Linked DNA regions of Daphnia pulex. The protein of the gene in region 2 interacts with the protein of the main gene of each other region in a pairwise test. Links are inferred from orthologs where the notes say so. Each region holds a gene or a part of one and is shown on either strand. Other genes may lie near its edges.

Region 1 (3,658 bases), on a different chromosome or scaffold from region 2:
TTAACAGTTTGAAAACTAGTCCTCCGTTTGTTTAGTTTTGTTTTGTTGGGGGGAGAAAAGGGGTGAGACTAGGCTGGTGGTCCATTCCGGTCATAACCCAACGCTTTTTTTCTAGTCGGGGATAACGAACGAAGTCCAAAAATGAGCTCCAATCAACTGAAGTGAATTTTTTTGTCTGGCTTCAGGGAACACTCGGTGAACTATGTAGAAAAAAATTCAGACGGTAACCGTAGAATATTGGGGCATCCTCTCAGCCCACCCACTTGTCACCAATGTTCACACCTTTTCTTTCTGTACACTTCGACCTTTTGTAATCCAAGAACCTTATTCTCCAGTTATTGTTTCTTAATTTTTATATCGACCAAGCAAATAGATGAACATTTTAAGATTAACCACTAATCACCACGGACAACATTATCAAATGGGTTTTTCTGGTTCAACTGTGGGCTAGATAAGATTAACCACTAATCGTCACGGACAACATTATGAGTTTGAAATGGGTTTTTTTTTAAGAAATCATTTGTGGGATAGATAAAAACTCAAGTTATTACTTTTGTCAAGTTTAAAAAAACGGAAACGAGAAAGACTTTTCAAATAAACAGACGAAATTTAGGGCGGGAGGGGTTGGCCCCATGATTGTAGACTGCGTTAGAGTCTTCCTTCTGTATTATCCCTCGTTACTTGCGCGTGTGTTTTTCTTTGCCTTCAAATGACGGTTGACCTTTCACTTCTCCATATAGGTCGCCGCAAAATGGATCAAAAAGGAGAGAGAGAGAGAGAGAATCAGGCTAATAAAATAAATTTCATTTTTATTTTAGAAAAGAGCTCAGAAGATTTTCGAATCCTATTCGCGCTAGTGTTGCTTCAAGGGTTGATATTCTATAGACAATCTTGTTAAGCAAAGACGAAGCCCCTGGATTTTTTTTTCGTGTTTTTTGTGTGTTTTTTTGTTTTTCCTGTCGCTCTGTCGGAGGAAGAATTACTCAGTCACGCACTGAAAAGGGGGCTATGTCGTGTTGCTCCACAATTCCCTATCTACCGTCTCGCTCCATTGCGTTTCTCAGATTATACTGTTGAATCTGATTCGCAATTCGTGCGCTTCCTCGGCTGCTATCTCCGCACTCGAGGGAAGTTGTCGCTGAAAATCTAATCAGACCCACCAACATCCTATGGCTCTTCTCTCTAGCTTCTCTCTTTCTGGGTCGTCAGGGGAGGATAACGACAATAAGGCATGGCGACCATCTGCTGAGTCATTCCGTCAGAATGTCCAATAGGTGACAAACCCACAATCCCAGATGATTAGCCTTTAACGATCCTTAAAGGGAAATATGACGGCCAGCAGCTAATTCCTATCATCATCAAGCTAATGTGCGATTAGCTGCTGCTGCTGTTGCAACTCAAACTGCACCTATTTCGCAGTCGGGTTGAGGGAGAACGAGAAAAACGAGTTATTTGTTATTTCCGATTGGCGAGAGATATGGCCGTGTGAGCATCTCGCGTTTTTATTTGTTTTCCTCCTTTTCGTAATGGACTCGAGCGTGCGTGTGCACGATGAGCCTGGGAATGAGATTTTTCTTCTCTCTCTCTTGTTGCTTCTCTCCTCTCGATTGCTTTTTCTTTCGTCTGGTGCGTCGTCATTTTTATTTTGAAATTTGTTCATGTTGTGTTTTTCTCGTATCCATCTCACCGTATCCGAACGACTCGTAATGGGTTCCCATGCGGCGCACCGAACGTCCATGGTGAACCAGCTGTGCCTTTTTTTTTTTTTTTTTTGCCGCAGCTCGGGCCCGGCATCGACTTTGAATTTGAACGTGTGGCATAATAGATCTAATTTCCATTTTTCATCAACAGATTTTCGTGCCAGAAAGCCTTTCGTGATGTCCTGACCGAGGTCAACGATCAAGCCGGCCAACATGAAGTGGTAGCCGAAAACCTGACCTCTGCCGTCACCAAAGAGATTGTGGCTCTCGTCAAAGACTTGAAAGAAGAACGCAAAAAGGTATATTCAACGTCCTGTCTATGACTCTCTTCGTAATCGTCTAGCATTTGGATAGGTCCAGCATCTTCCATCACGGTTTGAAATTAACCCCAACCAAAAAGACAAACTTTTCTGCGGCTCAAAAAAAGCGGAAATGGTTTCCAAGTTTTTAAATCGTTTTTATTAACAAGTTTGTTCGTTAGTGGCTTGCGAGTAGTGGGGAAGTAGCAACGACGGAATTCGACGGTATCCCTTCTCATGCTTGAACGTGGATAGCCGCAACTTGAAACAAACACACACACACATACACGTTGTGCTTCAAGGGCATGTAGACTTGGAAAGTTGTGATTATCATCAAGCGGTTTGAAGGCATTGTCTTGTTTTCGTTGGGTGGTGGTTATCCAACTTTAGTGCGGGCGTGCGTGTCCCATTCAATCCACTTTTCTTCTTCCAGCAGTAGCTTTTGGCCTTTGGCGTTGCAGCCAATTTTTTTCTTTTTTCTCTCCTCCCCACGTAACGCAAACAAAGAGAAATAAATTAATATCAAACAGATATATATCCATTACTTTAATACCAACGTCCAAAATGGAAAGAAGCTGAACAGCCAACAGACTTTTGTTTGGGTAATAATAGCCTAAGGGTGTGTCACACTTTCAAAATTCGATGGCAACCTTGAGACTCGACGTTTTACTTTCCATCTCCTTTTTGAAATTAGGTTCTTATTTTTTCAATTGAATGAAAGTTGTGGATGGGCTTCATCGGTTTGCGGCGCATAATTTGTTTCATGATGACTTCATTATTTGATTTGATTTGATTTGATTATTTTTGAATTGTTTGATAGGCCCTACAGGAAGGTGCGAAATTGCAGTCTTCGTTGAACCAGCAGTTGTCGGCGCTGGATCGAGCGCAGAAAAACTACGAAAAAGCTTTCCGGGAAGCGGAGCGGGCCGAGGACGCGTACCGCAAAGCCGATGCCGATCTGAACCTCTCGCGGGCCGACGTCGAAAAGCAGCGCATCAACTCGTCCATCAAAAGTCACCAGTGCGATGACAACAAAAACGAGTACGCCAAGCAACTCCAGAAAGCCAACGAGCTTCAGACGTGTCATTATCAGGTGCGTGGGAAACCAACGGCTTTTTGTTTTTCATCTTTTTTAAACAAAAAACAAAAACAAAAAATGAAATAAGACTAAAATAAGGAAAAACGTCAAACCGTTTTTGGCGAGCTTGTCCTGATTATCAGCCAACGAGGTTTCGGGACCATCCCGGATGGTAATAAGTGCGCTAAAATGATTGTGATGCTGTCATTATTTGTGCTCCCTCGCTGTGGTTGGGAGGAGCTGTCTCGGCAGATGTTGCATTAACGTCAACATGGCGTGTACGTAATAATAGTTTAAAAAGAAAAAAAAATCTGGCCTGTGCTTTTTAGTGCGTTTCTAATTTATTGATCGAAATAATGTTGACGTTTTTTTTTCCTTTTTTTCTTTTTGCAGACGGCCCTTCCAGGTGTATTCCACACCCTTCAGGAGTTAGACGACAAAAGAATTAAACAGGTCGAGAATTTCATAAGGAAAGGTGTGGATATAGAGCGCAGTGTCTTTCCCATAATTAATAAATGTTTGGACGGAATTGTCCGAGCCGCCGACAACGTCGATCCGGAAAAGGTGACCTGATTGTTTGA
Region 2 (3,758 bases):
ATAATTAAATTCCAGTGAAAGATAAAAGACTAATAAGTCTCTTTAAAATAATACTACGTCAAACTCGAGGACTGCTTTTGATATAGGGAACGATTTTCACAAAAATTTTATTAATCGTCCCAATCGTCATCTTCATCTGGGTCCTGGCCGCTTTCATCACTGTCGGAATGGATGACACGACATCTTTCCTCCAAGGCCCTGGCCAAGGCACCGGCCATACCTTCCATGACATCGTCGCTGACGGCAACAACAGAAGCCTTTTTCTCCACGGGTTTCAGTTCCTTTCCTGCTCTTATTTGACCCAACAAATCGTTGCGTGAATCGAAGGCTGGCACTTTAGCGCCACTCTTCATCGATTGATCGGCATCACTCGGCACCGATTTGAGTTTGTGTCCCTCTTTGATGGCGTCCATCAGGGCGCCACGGACATCGGGTTGAGCTGGAGTGGGTGGGAGTGACGGAGACGAAACAACAAATGAAGGAACAGGAGGAGCAGGAGGTCCACCAAATGAAGGAGGCGGTGGAGGTGGTGGAGGAGGAGGAGGTGCACCGACAGGAGGTGGTGGGGGTGCAACGTTGTTAATTGGTGCCATTTTCGGTGGTGGGGCACGTTGAGGAGGTGCTGGAGGAGCAACAGATGGAGGGGAGGCAATCACTCTTGAAGGTGGCGGCGGTGGAGCTGAAACGGGTGGTGCCGGAGGAGCGATCCTTGCCGTCTGAGGTGTAGACGGAGGATTCCTTGCTGGCACCGGAGGTGCTGAAAACAAACTGCCGCCGGATGACTGTAAACTCGAAATCTCACGAATAGCCGCTTCTTTTCCTCCATGTTTGTCGATAAAATCGTAGATGAATTCACGTGTTGCTTTGTCTTTCAAGTGATTCTCCGATATGCCGGCCTTTCATTACAAAAGAAAAAAAAGTTAAACCATAACAGAAGTTAAGTTAAGACCATAGAAAAGTTAAACACAGAAATGCTGAGCGAAATAGTCGTCTTACTCTGGCGAAGAACTTCAACAGATTTGGATCGACGTTGTCAAGTGCAAATCCTTGATTGGGGTCCCATCCAACGTGACTGATGTGTTTGAAATCTGATGGCCCTCCAATATCCGCTTTGGTAATTTTCTTGTTCTTGTCTTTCTTCCCTTTTTTTGTCACGGTTATACTGTTTGTGATTGTCGCTGATCGTACTGCTGTAGATTTTGGTACCGATCCGTTCGTGGCGACTGGCGTGGGTTTTCCTGGTTGCGGTTGCTGCACTTGCTGCTGTGATAAACGACGGCGTTCTAAAACACAACAACTGAGCTATTAATCAACCATTATTTGTCAACATCAAAATGTACACACCTCGTTTCTCCGATTTCATCCTCAAATATTCTTTGATAGCCATCAGAAAGTATTCTGCCTCGCCTTCATTAGCAAAATTAAACCCGATGCGACATTCCTGCATTCGAAAAATATTAACCAAATTGATATTGTAATTTACTAATATGATCAAATGAATGTCAGGACTCACATCTCCCTCAAAAGTGTGAAAGTAAGGTCTTGGTGCACAGTAGTCAAAAGAACTGTACAATTCTTGCTCCCAGATGGCAGATTGCCTGTCGAGGCAAAATACTCTAAGGAAATAGGATCTCTTGATATTATCTTTGATGAAGCAGACTACACCACAATGCCGTTTGTTCCATGTGGATCTATTGGGTGGATCAGCAAAACAGACCTGAACCACAGCTGACGCCATACTCTGAAAAAGAAAAATTACAAAACATTAAATGTTGACTTTTAGAAGAATCTAGTACTGGGGGGACTTACTTTGCAGCGCAAGCCAATGAGTTTAAATAATTGATCATTTTCTTCTAGTGAAAGAATAGATGATGGTTTGTTTTCAGGTTGGGGACGCTTGGCAGCAGTCATGGCAATGTTATTACTGGTTCTAGATTTTTCAAAATGTGTCAATTAAACTTTCGATCGAAAACTAGTAAACACATCGACAAATTTATATTAAATTGTAACTGTCACACAACTGTAAATAAGGATAAGTAGTTCTTATTGTTTGAACGAATTTTTCACGATTATCATTCAATTGAATTATTATTTATACGCTTATTTCATAAACACTTACGGCAGTCACTCCCTTACCAGTCTCATGAAGATCTACACACGGTGTTTCACAATTTTAAGATACGAGAGTTTTATCTTGAGGAAATAGTCCAATACGGTCCAATGGTTTGGTCCACATCAGACAGGACGAAACAATTCCATCTAGCGGTAAATTCATAAACGCTATGAGAATCACGGGTTGGGATCAGTTGTTTACTTCATGTTCGGAATGTTGATCGCCTTTCATTTCTAAGAACTTCATCTTTTTGTGCTTTTATCTCTTCATTCGATTTGCTCCATATATCATTATTTTTTATCTTGTTGATGAATATATATATTTTTTTCAGTGATTCTTTAAACCAAAATGCATGTGAATGGAAAAGAATTAATAACCACCTCCTTCAAACCTGCGACGTGAGACATTAGATTGTGTATTAGAATAAATACGATGACTATTATACAAAAATTCTTTTTGAAATAGGATTGAAGGAAGAATAAATTACAGAGTTCTTCATCCGGGAAAGTCGAAAGGAAATTTCAAGGAATTCTGGTTTAAATTGACAGGCAATCTTCTTTTTTACTTCGGTTTGAACAATTTTGGAGGAATTAAAGGAAATGTAGGTTTGAAGTACAGAAAATAAGAATTTTGGTCTCATTTTTAAGCTGTTAAAATTTCATTTGCAGGAGCCTATTGGTGTGATAGTTTTAGAAAATTGCTCCGTAGCATTTGATGAAGATGGATCTGGGGTATTTGCTTTTGTTGTTACTTTCTCTGGTGATCAAGACAGACATGTGTTCTCTTGCTTCAGTGTGAATCAAGCACAGAATTGGGTCATAGCCTTGAGGCAAGCCAGGTAAAATTTTTCATAATAATTCATACATGGACAGTGCTGACATAAAATTAATTTTTATTTAGTTATGAACATTTGAGAATCCAAGTCAAAATTTTAGAGAGTAAACTGGAAAGTCTTGGTGGAAAGGTAAGTTTAAAAGGAAAAATTTTAAGGGAAAATTATTGTTAAAATGATAAAATCTTTGGTATGTTCAGAGCATTTTTAAATGGAGTACCACAGCAGCATCATCAAGTAGTACTACACCAAGTAGTGTATTTAAACAGCCTTCCAATTCTGCAGTTCCCGCTTTACCTACGCCCCCAGCCAGAAAACGTATCGGGCCTAAAGCAAAAACATTTGTGAGTCACATGTCTGACGAAAATCCCCTGCCGATAAATTCTTTCATAAGTGATAACAAACAGCCTGATCAAGACTTGATCAAATGGTGATTAGTGATGAAAAAAACAACCGTCCGACTTAAAAAAAACGTGCCAATCATAAAGAGATTTAGATAGATTTGTGTAATTAATATTAACATTCCTCTATTAAGCAAATTAAGTTATGTTCGGCTGATTTTCGAAATCTAGTCATTAAATAATGGCTCAAAGAAAAACTGCCTCTCGTTCGTCGCATTGGTTTGCACTTGTTACAATTGGCTATTCCGCTGTATCACATTGACATCAACAGGCAAACTAATGTCGTTTTTAGAAATCTTCTTTCTTTTGAAGCTGCGTGGCCGTGAACGTTGATGGTTATTTTCTTTTGGTGTGCAGTTACTGATTCGGTTGCAAAAGCCGGTCAAGAATGTTTGAATCAATTGGTTATCAA

Evidence for each region.
Region 1: the proteins of neural Wiskott-Aldrich syndrome protein-like (region 2) and formin-binding protein 1-like interact in a two-hybrid assay, tested with the Drosophila melanogaster proteins (3 studies listed by BioGRID, with this or other methods). The link is inferred for Daphnia pulex from reciprocal best matches to the Drosophila melanogaster genes WASp and Cip4.

What each region holds. Positions count from the first base shown.
Region 1 is NC_060028.1:4,802,109-4,805,766, reverse strand, and holds part of formin-binding protein 1-like, read left to right. Parts: intron 1-1,851; coding exon 1,852-1,999; intron 2,000-2,819; coding exon 2,820-3,092; intron 3,093-3,470; coding exon 3,471-3,641; intron 3,642-3,658.
Region 2 is NC_060019.1:7,011,727-7,015,484, forward strand, and holds the start of neural Wiskott-Aldrich syndrome protein-like, read right to left. Parts: upstream 2,280-3,758; 5' UTR 2,137-2,279; exon of another isoform or gene 2,120-2,136; intron 2,077-2,119; exon of another isoform or gene 1,931-2,076; 5' UTR 1,912-1,930; coding exon 1,810-1,911; intron 1,742-1,809; coding exon 1,514-1,741; intron 1,442-1,513; coding exon 1,345-1,441; intron 1,284-1,344; coding exon 997-1,283; intron 897-996; coding exon 111-896; 3' UTR 1-110. Other genes in the region: pleckstrin homology domain-containing family J member 1-like, read left to right, coding at 2,462-2,511, 2,579-2,714, 2,782-2,951, 3,014-3,077, 3,146-3,379; wiskott-Aldrich syndrome protein-like, read right to left, coding at 3,577-3,758.